Linked DNA regions of Solanum lycopersicum. The protein of the gene in region 1 interacts with the protein of each later gene in a pairwise test. Links are inferred from orthologs where the notes say so. Each region holds a gene or a part of one and is shown in the gene's direction. Other genes may lie near its edges.

Region 1 (3,478 bases):
TTAATTATTTTTTGTAGGAGAAAAGATATAGTAAGGGAGAGTGTAGGAGAAGGATGTTGACATGTATAACGTGTAAGCAAAAGATAGAAGATGATGGAGGTGAAGAAGGACCTCGTGGCCGTGCTCCTACTCCCCATACTAAAGATTCCATCAAAAGCCTCACAGCACAGGTACTATTTTTCTACTTTTGAAATTTCATTATAATAATCTATTTCGAATATCATATTTCATTATTATTATTAAGACGTTTGTAGTTTGAAGACGTGATTTCCAGCTCCGCGAGATAGTGATACAATTGGTATAAATTTTCCCTCTCTCAGATCCTACTTAGTGAGATTTTACTGAATATATTCCCGTTACTGATAGTAGTGAAGGCACGAGTGAGACTCTTCACTATTCAATCAAACCCTTCATTCGAGTTTTGACCCTCATTTGTATGGTTTAGAGAGGCTTATTTATCTTATAATTTCAGATGTTATTTCGATTTAATAATACCGTTTATTATATTGAATTTCATTGTAGTTAAATTTAAATATTTTTTTGTCAAAAATGTTTATAAACTTTTTTTTTTTCCTTCTTTGTTCAAAGCAAAGCTAACTCTTAGTACGAGACCTGTCGCTTTAGCCCCTATATCTTTAATAGGGCCCCACATTTCATCCTTTTGGGCCCACATTTCCTAACTGGATTTTGGGCTATATTTGGACATTAGGTTAACAAGAGTAACATGAAATAAACAATTTTGTTGGTCACGCGGGGGTGGAGTGAGGACCATAGAATGTTACTTTTATTTTCTTAATTATCATCTTGGTGTTCAGACTTAGCTTTCGCGCATCTCAATTAATTCCTCGAGATACTTGCTACTATCCACCGACGACATGTAATTAGGTAAAATTAGAGTGTTTTTTTATCTCCGATGAGTTTTGAATGTGAGATTATCAAAACGTGTATATGTAAAACTAGATCACGATTTGTGGTTATCCCATATGAAAATCCATTGAGTCCATTTGTATTTGTGGGCACTATGGTTACTTATAATATGACTTTTAAATTATTTGACCCCACTCTTTTTTGTTTAGCATGTAGATTGGGTCATGTTCACGTTATTTCTTGGATCATGTGTCTAAGTTCTTTGGTCCCATAATGTTTTTCTTTACTTTAGTTTGCTTTCATCTAGTGGTCCTTATTTTAGATCATCTTGCAATTATGATTTTAATACTTTCCTATCTTACTTCTTCATTTCCATCCCAAAGTTGTTGAAACTAACAATATTTTGAAGTTTGTAAGGCTGACCAATTGGACCACTAAGAAAGCTTAGAACAATAATAATAATAAAGTATAATGTATAGGAAGGCCTATAATGATAAGCTATGTTGTTTGGACGCGTCAAAAGTGTTGTTGCACTAGTCAGATCTTTAAGAAATGTGCAACTTTTGGAGGATTCGACAGACACCTTGAACGATGGATAAGCAAAGACAAATTTCATGACGGGTTATGTGAGTTCAACTGAAGTGATCTTTGTGATTATGTTTTGGTCAAGTCTACTTAGAAGTTGCAAAACCAATAAAAAGAAGATCTAAAATGTAGACTAGTCTGGGCAAAGACTTGTCTGAATTATCTTTGACATGACCAGCCATTGATATATCTGTTCATTCACTGTAGTCCAGCCTCCAATTTACTCAATCCTTCACAAATTCAACTGTTGAATTCATCACTATCCCCAGAAAGTTAACTTCTGAAATTAAGTGACTTTCAAACAGTAAGTTTTGCTTTTGGACCTATAAAGAGATCTTCTGCTTTGATGTTCTTTGTTTGATAGTACAAGAAAGATACCATTTCTAGCAGCAGTAATAGGTGGAATCACTTCCTACTGTCTGAAATAGGCAGAACAGTCATTAATTTGTTAAACTAGTATTGACTTATCGTTAAAGCGCGCTTAAGCCTTGAAGATAGGGGTAAAACATGTTGAGCATTTCACTTCATGAAACATACTTTTCCTTGCCAATGAGAGTAACATTTAATCTGTTAAACTAATATTGTCAAACTCACGCTTAAGCCCCGAAGCTAGAGGCAAAAACATGTTGAGCATTTCGCTTCATAATCCTAAAGAGTGGATCCTAAACAATTTACTCTTCATTCTATTGTAATTTCTTTGTTCATATATTTGCCATTTATGCATATATTTATTAGTATTGAACTTTACATATTAACTGTTTTAACTTATGCTAATACTGTAGCTAATCTTATAATCAACAATCCATCTTCTTGATGTTGTACTAAGTTGCTATGAACTAATAATTTTTTAACATTTGCAGATCAAGGATATTGCTTTAAAGGTCTCTGGTGCATATAAATGCAAGTCATCAACACCAACTGGTACTTACAGGAAAGGTCATAGACCTTATCCTGATTTTGATACAATATCAGAGGGAGTTCCATATCCTTTTCAACCAGCAAGTTCAAGCTCTACTCCAGCTTGGGATTTTACTAGTGCTGGTAATCTAAGGACTCCGCGGCCTGATTCAAGATTTGCTAGAGGATTTAGTGGTGGTGGTGGTGTAGAATCTATTTCTCAGTCTGGTGAGGTAGTGGCGGAAGATGATGGACAAAAAGAGTGGACTGCACATGTTGAACCTGGTGTACAGATCACTTTTGTTTCTCTCCCTAATGGTGGAAATGATCTTAAACGAATCCGATTTAGGTATCTATCAAAAGTCTCTCTTCATTTCTACCACAAAACTTTATCATAGTATATAATATTGGACTAAGATGAGCTTAAATGGAGTGACATAGACAATAAGGATTCATGTAACTGATCCTAACTTCGGATAGAGTCGTCGTCTAGAATGAAATTATGGGAATTATGATTATGATAACTTCTTGCCTATGAATACTATAAGAAACAGTCTCTTTTGTACTGAAAGCTTCTTTGCCTAATCTTATCCTAGGCCAATGTTTAGTCCCTTTCATTCATTCATGAATTCTTATTGAGTTTCCCCTTTCTTTATTCCCTCAAGAGTCATGTCTACTAAAATATTTCACTTGTTTAGTACTGAGCCTTCAATTATCTTACTTACTACATGTGCCATTCTTATTACTTAGTTGATGTGTTTTGAATGCCATCTGAAATGATGACCTATTTTATTGAAAGTATCCGTGTTATGTAGCTTTCTAGGTGGCCCGATAAGCTGTCAAATTGTCCACTTGCTATCTGTATTATTCCTATCCTTATTGAAAATATCAGTGTTATGTGTATCTTATTGAAACACCCTTTGATGGTCCTGACAATAAATATCCCTGGGTTCTTTTGAAGTCGGGATATGTTCAACAAATGGCAAGCTCAAAGATGGTGGGGTGAGAATTATGACCGAATTATGGAGCTCTACAATGTTCAGAGATTCAACAAACAAGCTCTTAACACACCTGGAAGGTCTGAGGACGGAGTAAGTCAGTTAGATTTGATTTGTCTAAGCATAACAAT
Region 2 (5,257 bases), about 3.7 Mb from region 1:
AATATGTTTTACGCTATAAATATAATTTAATATAAACAGTTGCAAATTGATTATCTTTTACGTTACTAATTTACTTTTTTATGAGCAATTATAAATAGTATTAAAATATATTGATTTATAGTCTCAACCCATACATATCCTAGTTAATTATATTATATTATTTTCACTTAATTTATTTTATCATTATTTAATTATAATTGTAATGCAATCAGTATAATATTTAGATAGCTTGTTTTCAAGTTTTATATATATATATATATATTAATTTTGTGTATGATATTAAAATTGAAGTTGATTATTTTTAATTTTTGGTGCATATAGCTTTAATCGAAAGAAAATATTTTTTATTAAAGATTTTTTTTTACTCGTAACTTTAATCAAAAGAAAATATTTCTTACAATTATTTTTTTTACTCGTGACTCAAACTTAAGATCTTCAATTTAAAAAGGAATAGTTATATCCATTGCATCCCATGAATGATTGTTTTTAACTTAACTTATCATTACGAATGTCTTGATATTAATCAAAGACTACAATTAATTTGATATATTTTCTTTTAAAATATTTTTACTATTAAATATTTTGAATAACTTGTTTCTAATCAAATAAATCATTACTGACAACCACAATTAATTTGATTTATTTTTCTAGAATTCTTCAATGTTTTAATATTTGAATAATTTGTTCTAGTCCAATGAATCATATTATTCTAAAAAGTATCAATTATTATAATCATTAAATAATTTATTTTCAATCAAATAAATCATAAGTGTCTTGATATTAATAAAAAAAATATGAGTAATTAATTTAAAATATTTTAAAAATATTCCAATCATAACTATAATCTTCAAATAACTTGTTGTCAACCAAACGAACTATAAATGTCTTGATAAAGCAAAAACTACAATTAATTTGACATTTTTTTTTAAAGATATACAAATAATTATACAAGTTCTTCTAAAATATCTCGATTATCATAAAACGTTCAAATAATTTGTTCAAAACCAAATAAATCATAAATATCTTAAAGTTTATACTATATTTACTGACATATTCTTTTAAAATATTTCGATCATATAAAATTAGAATAATTTGTTCTTAACCAAACAAATCATAAATGTCTTAATATTAATCATAGACTAAGATTAATTTGACATTTTTTTATAAGAAAATATCACGATAATATTAATTTTTGAATAAATTATTTCTAACCAAATAATTTATAAATGTCTAGATATTAATCCAAGACGATAATTAATTTGACAAGCTCTTTTAAAATATCTTTTATCTCCAAAATAAATGAAAAATAAATTTGATCAAGAATTGTTCATTAAACCTTATCAATTGATCATGATTAAATAATATAATTATTTATGATTAAATAATTAGTTTGTTTATATAAAACATTTGATGTATTTATTGCTCTAGTAATAATAATTTAATATAAACACCCATTTTGAAATAATTTCTTACCAATTAATACTTGCTTATCTCTCATGTTACTACTTCTACTTTTTTAATGGACCATCTTAATGGCTTAATTATTATTTTTTTCCAAAAAATAAAAAATTTCAAATAAAAGTCAAACAAAAATTATCTACATCATTTATTATTCATTGTATTTATACATACATGTATTTTGTGTATTTTCTACACAGAGAGAGAAACTGAAAGAGTATTTGAGAAGCTCTCACTATTTACTGATTTTGATGCAAATTGTGAGAGAAAGAGAAAGAAAAAGATGTACTGAAGAAGCCACACACACACACTACTGTGAGAGATAAAAGGGAAAGAGTTTTCCTCTTTGCATTTATACTCTTTTCTCTCATAAACTAAATTCTTTGAAGCTTCTGGAACTAATCTACCAGGTGGTTTTCTCTCTTTGTGAATCCCCTTTTGAAAAAAAATTGAAAATCCATCAAGAAAATGAAACCCCTTCTTTGATTTTTGATTTTTTCATTGATTCTTGTGTGATGTATGACCTAAAGTTGAAATCTTGAAAATGGGGTTTATGTGGGTTTAATCATTTTTCTTGGAGATAGATGTCAATGGTGGTTTTTGTAAAAAAATAAAAAAAAATTCAAACTTTTTGTTCTGGCCCTAACCTACATTGGCAGGTCTTTCTCTTGTTGACTCTTGGTGTTCATTGATTTTGACTAGTTTTTGTTATTTCTAACTATTTATTTTCTTGAGAAAAAGGTTTCTCTTTAACAATCTAGGTATGTTTTATGGATTTTTGAATTGTTTTTTTGTGCCTTTTTTCATCTGCCTTCTCTAATCCCTTTAAAAATGCAAGCTTTGATGTAGTTGTTCTTTAGATGTTTTGATGGATTTCTCATTTGGGGTTTTTCTTTTCTTTTTATAAATTTTACATTCTTGATGATTTATTTTACTAAAGCAGAGAATATTGGATCTTGATGCAGGTGTTGGTGGACTTTTAGGGCTGAGGGTTTAAGGATAATGTTGAAGAAGAGGACCAGATCACACCAGAAAGTTCAAACAATGGGGCATTTGATGTCTGATGGTATCTCAGATTCTTATTTTCAACCTGATGTTTTTGTTAGGAAACATAAAAATAACTCCTTTTTCAATGTTCCTGGTGTGTTTGTTGGGTTTAATCCTAAGGGTTCAGAATCTGACTCAGTGAGAAGTCCTACTTCTCCACTGGATTTTAGGGTCTTTTCAAATTTGGGAAACCCCTTTAGGTCATCAACTAGTGAAGGGGCTGGGGCTAACAAGACATGGGGTTGTACTAAAGTAGGCCTTGGCATTGTAGATTCTCTTGATGATGAAATGAAACATTCGGGGAAAGTTTTTCGATCATCCGATAGTAAAAATATTCTTTTTGGCACACAAATGAGGATCAAAGCACATGATTTTCAGAGCTGTGTTGATGATTCTCTTGAGGAACCTAAGTCACTCCCTAAGAATATCTCGATTTTTCCTCATACTTTGTCCAAAAGCTCCAATCTTCGAAAGGGAAGTTCTGATGTTGTCTTTGGAATTGGAGATGCCCTGTCGGAGCATGAGTACTCGAGAAATTTTCGTTCTTGTTCTCTGGACTCTGGAAGGTCTAGCTCACGGTTCGCAAGCTTGGCGAACCGTACTGTGGCTGTTGGTTCTGAAAATGCAATAAATCCAGTGGTTTCACAAACTAAATGTGTTAGAGGTTGCTCAAAGCTGGGCAACCCTGCAGGTGGTGCGAAATTGAGTCCTATACCAACACCTGTTGGCTCTAACACCAGCTTAGTTGGTTCTATTTCAGCGAGTGACATACAACTTTCTGAGGACTATACCTGTGTGAGAACCCGTGGACCCAATGCCAAAGTAACTCATATCTTTTGTGACTGCATTTTAGAATGTCACAACAATGAGTTGCCCAATTTTTGTAAGAATGCTAATGAGAAAACCGTGCTGCCTGAGGTGACGGACAGCTCAGAGGTCCTCACTTCATTTCCTTCAAGCGATTTTTTGCGCTTCTGTTCCTCTTGCAAGAAGAAGCTGGACGGAAAAGATATTTACATGTACAGGTCTGTTCAATATTCACCGCAATTCTAACAGTTCTAATGACTTGATGAACTTCGTAGTGAAAATTTGTATTGTGTTTTGCAGAGGTGAGAAAGCTTTTTGCAGCTTGGATTGTCGTTCTGAGGCAATTTTAATTGATGAGGAGATGGAGAAAGTCAATAATGATTCTGAAAGCTCTATTAAGCCAAACAGCCGTGATGAAGTTTTTGACACCGGCTTGTTCATTGCTACATAGGATGCCGGAATCGCACTGCTGTAGCTACTAAGCCCATGATTGATGAAACCGCCACCTCACTGGTTAACAACTAGACACCCTGATCATCTGTTTACTAAGAGCTGTTTTTTTGTGCATCTTTGTGCAGCCATGGATGATCAGATCATGTATTGCTGCTACCTGTGTGAACTATCTTTCCTTTCTCATGGTCCTAGTGGTTAATAGTCGCAAACTGCAAATTTTGTTTTATATAGTTCTGAATTTGTTTATGTAATAGTTGAGTATAATCTCCAAAAAAAAAAAAAAGAAGGATAAGAAACTTAACTAGAAGGGTTGTAGCCCATCCTTGTGGCTCCCCAATTTTTGGTTTCTCACCAAGCTAATATTACCTGTTAAAGTTTGACAAAAATACAAATGTTTTATGGCTACATACATTACTTATGTTATGTATGAATAAAAATGTTTTGCAATTGCTCATTCTTGTCTCGTTGTTTACTGTTAATAGGATCTGTTTGTTTTCAGCTTATGTAAGTTTGTTAGTCATAACATGCTTTCTTGATTGTGATTCAGACTTCACCGATGCTAGTTAATGTCGATTTGGTCTTTTAAGTCCGGTGAAGATGGCGTAGCTTCTTGAGTTTTCTGTTTTTGTTGTTCTTGGAAAACCCCTCAACCAGTTGCCTCCATGATCCTAGCTCATTTTTTTGATCCTCAACTTGTCATCTTTTTCTTGGATGTACTTGATAGTTGATAGACATCTAGGGATCTTGTTGTTCTTTTAAAATTTGTATGTCAGTAGAATAACTCTAGTTTGTTTTGTATTTGAGATGGGCTTACACAGAGCAACATTGATAGTGATGATTCATGTAGCGGATCCTAACTTGTTTGGGATTGAGTAGATCCGTTCTATTTCTTCAGATTTGAAATACACCAGCTCTGCTTCTATTTGGGACGTGGTAAACGTTCTATCTGTTATACTAGCAGAGATGTCTTATTCCTTTTACTCTTAAGATTAGCAATACACCAGTTCTGCTTCTGCTTCTGCTGTGTCTCGCATAGCTAACACTACCATTTTGCCCCTGAACTGATGTAACTTGCAAACAACGCTGACACCAAATAGCCATAAAACACTGACACCAAATAGCCGTAAATACACACAAATATTCGACTATTCTAACTACTCGAAATGTCCTGTTCTGAGAGGCCCCTTTGGGTTTCATTTTGTTTCCATGTAAACATTGTTGTGGGAGATTGAGAGAATGTTGGTATCATGTGCTATACTGTACAGTAGTGAAGTCTCTAGCCACTAATGGACTAGTGCAGAATCTTTGGGTCTTTTGTTGCTGTATCTTGTCTATGTTTCCTTTTACTTTTTTGACCTTTTTGTTATGTTACCAATTTAAGTAACTTGGGCTGGGTGAGAGTAAATGTTGACAAGGGTCACTCATCTAGTCAGGCAACTGTTCTTTTCATCTGTCACTTCAGCTCAGAAAAAAGAAAAGGCATACTGCACGT
Region 3 (4,823 bases), on another chromosome or scaffold:
TGCAGACTCGCTACAACTTTTTAATGTCCGCATAATCTTTTTAAAAGTTTGAACCAGAAGCGTTTATTAGGAACACTTTATCATGTTATTCAGGTGTGATCAATTAGATCATGTTATTGTTCGAGTGTTTAAATAAAATTTACTTATTTAAGGTAATGATGAAGTCAACTTTTCAGTTAGAGAATTCAAAATATTTTTTTTGTTTTCGACCTCGTGTCAGTCCGGATGTCGAGCGAATTGATCCTTAAATTACAAGTGCATTGTATATAGTACTACATCTATTTACACAATTTAACGTGACATAATACATAAATAGACATCTTAACTCTATTTTAACGTAAAATAAATACCCTAATTTTAAGGATGCACATTTGAACAATTCAACTCACTTTATGTGTCAGTTGAACATTCAAACTTATAACAAAAATTATGTTCATCTAGACACCACTAAATTTGTATATCATCTCAACATCAAGTGTTAACGAGACACGATTAAAACAAGTTAACTGTCTAAATATATATATTCAAAGATAACATGCTCAATACCCATTAATGTCAAATTAAGATGTCTATTTATATATATTACATCATTTTAATTTTAATCTTAATTAAATGTACAACTACCAGTGGGCAATGCATGTCAATAAAGGTCCTCTTCAAAATTATTGCTACATCTCATCAATATTTTTCAGGTCTATATCAACAGGACCAAATTTCCACTAAATAATTCTCTGTGTAATAATAAGTGACAATAAATAATATAATTCCATTATCCAACCACTGTTGTTGGCTAAATTAATATGAACATGGGACTTGAAATTGATATCTACCATTAGTTTACATGGACAATAGATTAAACATTTTTACCAAATTTTTAAAACATATAAACTAATTCTTATTTTTCAAAAGAAGTGTTTTAAATTTTTTTACGCTTGTAAGTAAACTATGACTTATAAAATATGTTTTTCTTTTCTTATTTAAATAAAGTCATTTTATTTAATCGATCAAACATAAAAATATTGTTAACCAATCATAAAAAATATTACTGATATAACTTGAAAAAGAGTTGGTAGATTGTACAATCACTACTATAATTTTCTCATAGTTTTTCATCATTCTCTATTTCCAATCATTGGAACCTCAAAACTGAAAATAAAAAATAAAACTTATATATATATATATATATAAAAGGAAGGTTCCTTTATTATTATTATTTTGATTTTCCATTTGATGTTTCGATGCTCGATATTAAAATTAGAGCTTGATTAAATTTAAATTTCTGTCGAAAATTTTTACATTAAGAAGTATTTTCTCTATTTTAAAAAGAATAATCTGATTTGGTTTAACACGAAATTTAAGAAAATAAAGAAGATTTTTAATCTTGTGATACTAAACTAAAGTTAACGTGAAATGTACAAAACTACCCTTTAATCTTGTGATCTTAAACATGCCACATGTAAAAAAAAAAATTTGAATCAGATACAATGCTTCCTAACAAAGACGATTTTGTTTTCAGAAAGACTTAAATCCAAATCTTTTGATTAAGAATAAAAGAGTACGTATTAATAATCAAATCACTCCAACACGACCATTGTCTACACGTTCTTTTATTATAACTCCAAAAAAACTGACAGATAGTCAAGAAAATTATCAGAAACAATATTCTCTCAAAAATTGTTATAAATAATAGTACTATCTATAGTTTAGTTGTACAACCAAAAAAAAAATAATCACAAAAAGGAGAAAAAGATATGGATTCCCAAACAACAGTTAAAACTTTAACAGAACATCCTCTTCAATACAGAGCTTTTGTACAAAATCATGTACTAAAAGATGCATCATTCTCTTCATATCTCAAACCAGAAGATCATAGTCCTGATGATTCCGAAATCAACGTGTTCGATGCGAAAAAATACTTCAGTGAAGGCAATGAATCATCTCCTGTTGCTCAAAAAAATGTAAATGATCAATGTGAATTACCATCAGGTCATCGACATTCGTCAGTTTCTTCCGTAGACAATGCCTACGGAAGAAACTTCCGTGCTAATTCCTTTCGTGCTACTCCAACTGCTTCGTCAGAAGCGAGTTGGAATAGCCAGACAGGATTATTAGCAAATCCTCCAGGTGCAGTATCAGTTTCATTGAAGAGTATTAATACGAATGACAAAAGAAGTGGTTCGTTTAATACTCGTAAATGGTTTTTCTGTCGAAAATGCCCTTGTTCTGGGAAGAAATCTGTGCAGGTTGAGGAAGCTAGCTCGGAGCCAAGAACAGAAACTGGCTCCGAGCAGCATTTCCCCGTCAAACACAGTAGTAAAGTTGTAGTTGAGAAATCAACTAACCTATCTCAGAAAAGTTCAATTGAAATTCAACACAGAGGAGTGGTGGTCAGGTCAGAGACTAATAAAATTGGAGCGATTCAGAGAAGATCATCAGAATCAGAGAGTGGTACAGCTGGTACAATCAGCTGTCAACAACGTGTACTGGCACCGGTTAGACCGTTTACCGAGGTGCCAGGTGGAGGATTTTCATTCCCAATTCTGAACCATTCAGGTCAATCCAAATTAGGAATCAAACCTCCATCAACAAGATCATCGATTTCCCCAATTTTAGAAGATCCGCCTCGAGATTCACTCGAGGTATTTCAACCATCTACTCGAAAATCAATCGAAACAGATCACCATCGATGCAATAATTTCCCCTTCCCAGGTAGTCCAATGTCTCGAATAACAGCTACAGATGACGATGTAGCAAGCGATGCAAGCTCCGATCTATTCGAAATCGAGAGCTTTTCGACTTCAATGGCGAATTCATCCTGTCCGTTATATCGTCAACGAAATTCACTCGAAGAGCCTGGTACACCTAGTGTTGCAGCTACAGAGTGTTATGCACCAAGTGAAGTGAGTATTGACTGGAGTGTTACAACAGCTGAAGGTTTCGATCGAACTAGTGTAACTAATTATTCAACTATTTCAGAAATCGAGACGAATACTCAATTTTTTGGTGGCGGTGGTGGTGGTGATGGAGGGAAGTGGAAAGGGGGTGGGTTGTTGAGTTGTCGGCATGAAAAAGCGGTAAATGTGGGACCGCAGCCAGTTAAATATGGGTCGCCCGATGGGCCACCGTCGCAACTGCCGTTGAAATCAACGGCAGGACATGTGGGAAGTAGAGCTAATAAGCCACCTCTCGCAAGCTCTCATTCAGCTCGCTTGTCTCTTGCATTTGCAGCATGACAAATAACTTCCTTCGTACTCATGTTTGGTGTTTATATGTTTTTTTCTCTTTCTCGTTTTATTTTACGTGACGCTACTGTTATTCGAAGCGTGATTTTATTGTTATTTAGGGAATTATGAAAAAAAAATCTTTTGATTTTAGTTTTTTAAATTATTTATTATTGTAATTTATAGTAATATTTCTTTTTATGTATTTTTTAGTACTCTTTATTGGAGTTTATGTAGCAATATTTTTTTTCCTTTTTAGTTTAATTCAGAAAGAATGATATTTTTTTATTTTAATTTTTTAGTGATTTGTTTTAAACAATGTCTTTTTTTTCTTTGAAAACTTGTAATTTGAACATTTCATGTAATATGTCCTAGCATTACAAGATTAAATGATTTTTTTTGTACATTGGGTATATATCATTGATTAAAAAGTTTTCTTTAATTATAAACTAGGAACTAGATTAAAATAAGATAAATAAATTGAAACAAAAGATATATTTTAAAATTTTAACTTCAACTTGTCACTTTTTTTTGGGTTCCAAACAGTTGATTTTTGTATTAAGACTTTGACTGATCTGAGTTATTGCAACATAAGACCCGTTAAAAAGTGAAATGCTCCTTGTATTCAAGTATGGAATTTAAGGTCTTTATTAAGAGAGAATAAATACCATATATTTACATGTACATGTATTTTTACTTATTAAAATTTTATTTCTACGTTTAGTGACAAGCTTTTACAGGAATATACTCAAATATTATGAAATACTTAAAGAGTTAAGATCATAGTTTCAAAGTTTATAATGGTACGAACATTATCATATATTTAAAATCAAATATTTTAATTTTATTATAACCATACAAATCTTATAACATGTTTAACGACAAAAAAACTTTAATTTTACCAAGCAAAATATAGTAAATGCATGAAGAGGGTCTAGTTGGGGTCATCTGAATTATAGGTAGGCCAAAATGTATGACATTTTTTGTTGTTGTTCATGCACCTAACTAGAGGCTCTCTTGTTCAAACGAGGGTAGATCACGTGAATAAAATAATATTTTTATTTAAATAATATATATAAAAATTATCAATCTATTGCTTAATTATAGATTTTGAAAAATTATCTATAAATATTTGTTTGATCCTGAAATTTGAATATATTTAAAAATTTAGTTTCAAAATATTCCAACTTCCCGTTTTGGCTTGGATAATTATTTTTTTGTGAAATTTTGCTCACTCACCCAATTTTAAAGTTTTTCAAAGTAAATTACGTATTCAGACACAATATTAAAATTTTAAAAATTCAAAATTTCATGTTTCAAATTCAAATCTATCCAAATGGAAGCTAAATAACTACTATAAATATTTGAGAATAAACTCTATTATTATTATTATTATTATTATTATTATTATTATTATAGTATCAATTTGATATTAACGTAAAAATTTATAAATTTTGAATCTGTCTTTTAAACCTTAGTAACTATGCTATGTCATCTTCTTTTGGGCCCTTAAATTTTCCTTAATTAATTTTAGTTATGTCATTAGATTCATAAATGAGTTCTCTTTTCTTAATCTTTCATATTCATTAATCTTTAATCAAT
Region 4 (5,456 bases), on another chromosome or scaffold:
CTCTGAGAAGTCCCCTCAGGTTCAAGAAAAATACACTTTTCCCCTCCCCTGATCACTTTATGCACAAGTGGAGTCAGAGAACGGTAGGATGTACACAGACCTTATCCTACTTCTGTGAGGTAGAAAGACATTACAAGTGGAGCTGGGAACGGTGGGATGTACACAGACCTTACCCTACTTCTGTGAGGTAGAAAGACTGTTTCTGATAGGAGTCTTGGGAACGGTAGGATGTACACAGACTAAACTATACATTTGTGAGGTAGAAAGACTGTTTCTAACAGACTCTCGGCTCGATAAAACAATTATGGAAACATAACTTGCAAGAATAACATGACAACATAACTACACAAACCTTGTCATCAGAAAATTGGAATTTAAGCTTCTGATTCTGCTTATGCTGTTTCTGTTTTTGATGATTTCCAATAAAGATACAAATCGTAACAGCAGCAGCTGCAACCCCAAATGAACAAATTGCACCAATTCCAGTCAATCTCCAGTTCCACAGATTAACTCCACCATTATTTTTCTCTTCATTACTATCCCTTTTCTTGATCAAACTCTCATTTTCAACTTCCAAGACTTCAGCTTTAACCTCAAAGGGGAAACTCATTGAATCAATTTGAGACACAGTACTAGTCTTGTTACTAAACTTGGGTGAATCCAACTTCATGTTTTCAAATTCACTTTCCTTCATTTTCTTGAAGAAAACTTGAGACTTTTTATCCTCCTCATCCTGTTGAGATACAATACAATTTAAACTTTCGGATGAGACGATCGCACTATTTAACTCATGAAAGATGACTTACAATGAAAATATAACCATCTTTAAGCTTTTAGATGAGACGATCGCGATCTAAAGTTTGAAACTTTTATATTAGGTGGTAACATGTTTACCTCAAGTGGAACCTTGGTGATAACTTCTTTAATGACTTCTTCATCTTCTTGGGGCTTTTGTATACTTGGTTCTTGTTGAATTAGTAATGGAATTACTACTTGATTTGGCACTTTTTTGGAACTAGAAGTATACTCCATAGACAAAAATTTGTCTCTATCATCATGGAGTACTTCAAGAAGTCCATTATCAGAAAGAAGTTCCCATTCTTGAAGATCCATTTTTTTTTTCTCAATGAATGAAAGCAGGGGAGTTAAAGAGTAGTAGAGGTTAAATAGTTTGAAATTTAGAGGAGTCCTAATTCCTTTTTACCACTCTAGACGTGTACATCTCGACTAATTCCATGGTTATTTATGTTAGAGGGGTTAGAGTTTTGAGAATGGACCAGTGGTCTCTCTTACGTGAACTTGAGCATATTCTATATCATGAGCTAAATTCTGGGGTTGAGTTAGATTCACATGTCATATTTTATAAATTACCAGCTAATTTTTTCCATTAAAATATCGATAAATATGTAAAATTCACCTAATATTTTTATTTCTACTGAAATTTAAACATGAAATCTCATAACTTTCAATTACTTAATTAACCACTAAAACATGAGATCTCATTATTGTCAATCACTTCATCGGCTACGGAGTTTTGATTGTTTTGGGAATTGAAAAGTCAAAAAGAGTGGCTTTGATGGTAATTAATGTGGGATTTTTATTGAATGAAGGCACTCAATATGAAAAATGTCTTCTTGCACCTTGGAGAGTGAATATTTGAAACTTCTTGTTTGGTTATGATGGCGATATAGTAGATAGGTGGAAGCTTATCACTATGTGAAAAATATCAGCCCTACATATGAGGAGGCTAATCTAAACTTTGATATTTATCTCAATTATTAATTGGATTAGTACATAGTCATTTTCATTAGTTCAATATTTAGTTAGGATAAAACTGAAATATAATTTGCATCACTTTATATATATATATATATATATATATATATATATATATATATATATATATATATATATATATATTTATACACTTTGATTTGAAATTCGAATTATTTCTGTGTTAATTTTCAATTATTTCATTAATAGCTGGTTGAGCTATACTCTTGGATGCAACTTTAGATCAAACTCTCTCAACTTCCATGTATTCAAATGTTCAATCAGAATAAACTATAATGTAAATATCTATATAAAATTTATTGACAAATTTAAAAAACTTAAAATATATTTATCTCATTAATTAAATTTTTTTTACGATCACACAACAATGACTATTATGTATGGAATTGGACCATTTAGTTGAATAGTAGAAAACAAAATTCAAAATATAATAAAGCAAAAGATTTAAGTAATGTGTACTTATATTCTAACAACTTTTATTATTATAAAATCGAAGTTATTTATATAGCAGAAAATCTTTTTTTTTAATCGATTTAAATCAGATAAAAGTTATTTATAATTATTTTTAAGTAAATGGGTTGGATTTTCAACAATTTAATTCAGTACCGGGTTGACCCGATTGTTGAAATGGGTCTGGAATAACCCGATTCGTTTGTAGAAGAAGGGGAGCCGCAGTCATATACAATCCCTCTTCGTTTTCATTCTGGAAAAATCCTCTTCTCGAAAAAAATCAGATACAAGAGTTGTCGCCTGAGATTCGCCGGAACTAAATGGAAGTGACATCGGAGAAGAAAGAATTGGATAACAAGAACACGAACAGCACTCAATCCCTAATTATCGATCCCTCAATAGCCGCCGAGGATCGTGAACGCATCGCTGTTGACCTAAAAGCCGGCTTGCATCCTCTCAAGGTTTCATTTTTGTTTTATTTTTCGACTATTTCAGCAAACTTTATTTTATTTTTAGGTTCATCAAGTTCAAACCTAGGTTGTTTGATGCGATTTGCAGCTATTTTGTTATATTTAGTTTTTAGGCTTGGTGGAGTTCAAATTTTTATGCTTTCTACTCATACTTGTTGTTTGTTTGGGGTTTTTATGCAATTTGTGACTATTTCTAGAAAAATGTTTACTATTTTATTTTGCACAATTTATAGGTTAGTTCAAATTTGTATGCTTTTGTTCATAATCATTCCTCTGTTAGGCTGTTGATGCAAGGGAGCTGAATATGTGACTGCTTTATTGAAAGTTCTACTTTTTATTGAACAAATATTATTAAGTTGGTATATTAGTGGAATAGTTGTGGTGTACATAAGTTGGCTCGGACACCATTGTCATGAAAAATATAGTTTGCTTAAGCTACGGAGTAATAAACTGGTTGTAGGACCTCACATTCAGGCAAAAACATCAATTTATCCAGAGACTTGTTTTGAACTAAATACATAACATTGAAACTACTATTAAAGCACTTCCTACTAGAGAAAGGAAATACAACATGTGGACAAATAAGTATGATCTTAGGTGATAAAGATTGGACATAGTGCTTCTGAGAGAATTCTGCATCAAGATCTTACCTTTATACATAATATACTCCAGAAATTTGGGAAATACAGTAGATTCAGGAATTGAAACTAGGCTCATGAGTATGAAGTGACAAATTTTGAGCATCATATTTCCCATACTAGTGATGCTTACTTCCTGAAAGCCCATTGTAGAGTCTCATGATCTTGTAGGATCCTGTATTTAATATGCTTGCATTTCTTCTCTGTTTTACTAGTAGCTACTATTTTTTAACAATCAATACCATATTGGTGGTCAAATGTGTGGCGTGCATGCAATTATCTGCATTTCTTCTTTGGAGATGGCCAAAACAAACATGCTCACTGTGCCAGTCAGGCCAGGAGGATTGTAGAATTGAAGATATATCTAGGAGCATGTGCATATGATGACTACCATATGCTTGTAGCATATTACCATGCTATGTTTTCCCACTATTCATAAAAAAAAATATATGGTAGGGACACAACTTCGTATTTCTATAAGCACAGTATTCCAACCATGTTTACTTTCCATCTTTTGCTTTCTTTTTCGTTTGAGTTGTGCTTCTGGTATTCACTTAGCTTCATTGTCATGATCAGAACAAGTTTGTTTTCTGGTACACTCGCCGGACACCTGGGGTTCGAACACAAACATCATACGAGGACAATATAAAGAAAATTGTTGATTTTAGTACTGTAAGTCAATTTGTTTCTGGTCTTTTGGCTTTATGTGAATTTAACTGCCTCTTTAATCCCTTATGTGTTCTCCATCCATAGGTTGAAGGGTTTTGGGTTTGCTACTGCCACTTGGCTCGCCCATCAGCATTGCCCAGCCCAACTGATTTGCATCTTTTCAGAGAGGGTATTCGTCCTTTATGGGAGGTTAGTTTTGGTGCTCATCCTAACTATTTCTTTTCTGCGTCTTCAATTTTGTTGAAGTCCTTAACTATGTATACCTCTTACCTGAGTTAATTTCTTGATTATATTTGTCTGTGAAGGATGCTGCTAATTGCCATGGTGGGAAGTGGATAATTCGTTTTAAAAAGGCTGTCTCAGGACGTTTTTGGGAGGACCTGGTAAGCCAGCTGCCCTGCGATTTTTGTTTTCTGTCAACTTAACTGGACTTTTTTGGCTAATAAACATTAAGTGCAGAAATAAATTTTTAAGTCAATCTATAGTAGCCACGACAAAATTTAGATTTTGACAATATAAAGCACGAATATCCAAACAGAGGAAATTTCTAACTCCATTTTATGCAAGGGCTGAGATGCCCCTTAGCAAACAATCTCACATAGGTTTCCATAGGTAAGCAGTAGAAGCTGACAAAAGAGGACAGTCTAGTGAAATGGATTCTCTATCTCCAACCATGATGGGGACCTCATCAAGGGGGGAGTTGGAAAAGATGCTGCTTATCAAGTGGGGACTATGTGGGGTTTAAGGAGCAGGGTCTACCACTTAAATGAAAAGAGAAGAAGAAGAAAAGAAAGGGCACTAGAAGCTGAAGTGATTTCTGTGACCAGACTTTTACATCAGTATCCTGTAATCTGTTCTCCTAAAGGATGTGTTGTTACATTGATGTTCTCCTCATTTTTGTCAGTAGCTGAATTTTTCATGCTGCCTTAGATTCCCAATATCTAACCAAAAAGTTGAGTCTGTTTGAAGTATTCTCATCTTGGAGTACATGCATTTGCTTATTGTGAATTTACTCAAATAGATGTTTAGGTAGGATTGATGTTATTGTTTCCACATATATCATGGTCAAAAGATAATTAATCTATCAACTCCTCAATCGTACATCAGTTGGGGTCCGCATTAATTTGGTTTGGTTAGTTTCTCTAGACTAGTTAAGCATTAATTTCGTGAACTCGTATCAAATGATTTGTCAGGCTACCCTCATTAGTCATGATAATGTTTGTTTACCAAGCTTTGCCAGTGGGAGTTAAGATACTTTCTGTATTGCCTTTTGGAAAATGAGAGGATGATATATATTATGCACACATTCATCAATACATCACATCTGAATGTTGTAAATTAAATTGTTCCATCATCCTCAAAAAGGTAAAATTGCTAATCTGGCATCATCCAAATAAGGGCAACGTGACTTCAGATGTAAATTTTCACAATCGTA

The links.
Region 2: the proteins of protein BREVIS RADIX (region 1) and FCS-Like Zinc finger 10-like interact in binary tests that used the Arabidopsis thaliana proteins (3 or more experiments, as listed by UniProt). The link is inferred for Solanum lycopersicum from reciprocal best matches to the Arabidopsis thaliana genes BRX and AT5G11460.
Region 3: the proteins of protein BREVIS RADIX (region 1) and protein PHYTOCHROME KINASE SUBSTRATE 4 interact in binary tests that used the Arabidopsis thaliana proteins (3 or more experiments, as listed by UniProt). The link is inferred for Solanum lycopersicum from reciprocal best matches to the Arabidopsis thaliana genes BRX and PKS4.
Region 4: the proteins of protein BREVIS RADIX (region 1) and eukaryotic translation initiation factor NCBP interact in binary tests that used the Arabidopsis thaliana proteins (3 or more experiments, as listed by UniProt). The link is inferred for Solanum lycopersicum from reciprocal best matches to the Arabidopsis thaliana genes BRX and NCBP.

What each region holds. Positions count from the first base shown.
Region 1 is NC_090807.1:62,145,401-62,148,878, reverse strand, and holds part of protein BREVIS RADIX, read left to right. Parts: intron 1-17; 5' UTR 18-53; coding exon 54-170; intron 171-2,312; coding exon 2,313-2,698; intron 2,699-3,310; coding exon 3,311-3,440; intron 3,441-3,478. UniProt on the Arabidopsis thaliana protein: Acts as a regulator of cell proliferation and elongation in the root and shoot. Regulates roots architecture and primary root protophloem differentiation.
Region 2 is NC_090807.1:58,437,209-58,442,465, reverse strand, and holds FCS-Like Zinc finger 10-like, read left to right. Parts: upstream 1-1,649; 5' UTR 1,650-1,868; intron 1,869-2,423; 5' UTR 2,424-2,460; coding exon 2,461-3,530; intron 3,531-3,612; coding exon 3,613-3,763; 3' UTR 3,764-4,219; downstream 4,220-5,257. UniProt on the Arabidopsis thaliana protein: May act as an adapter to facilitate the interaction of SnRK1 complex with effector proteins, conferring tissue- and stimulus-type specific differences in the SnRK1 regulation pathway.
Region 3 is NC_090809.1:61,591,898-61,596,720, forward strand, and holds protein PHYTOCHROME KINASE SUBSTRATE 4, read left to right. Parts: upstream 1-1,596; 5' UTR 1,597-1,751; coding exon 1,752-3,233; 3' UTR 3,234-3,515; downstream 3,516-4,823. UniProt on the Arabidopsis thaliana protein: Modulates phytochrome-mediated control of hypocotyl growth orientation. Involved in PHYA and PHYB signaling. Acts as an inhibitor of asymmetric growth. Not involved in the control of leaf flattening.
Region 4 is NC_090809.1:61,036,623-61,042,078, reverse strand, and holds the start of eukaryotic translation initiation factor NCBP, read left to right. Parts: upstream 1-1,848; 5' UTR 1,849-2,564; coding exon 2,565-2,705; intron 2,706-3,928; coding exon 3,929-4,024; intron 4,025-4,105; coding exon 4,106-4,210; intron 4,211-4,326; coding exon 4,327-4,404; intron 4,405-5,456. Other genes in the region: uncharacterized protein, read right to left, coding at 353-733, 895-1,113. UniProt on the Arabidopsis thaliana protein: Recognizes and binds the 7-methylguanosine-containing mRNA cap during an early step in the initiation of protein synthesis and facilitates ribosome binding by inducing the unwinding of the mRNAs secondary structures.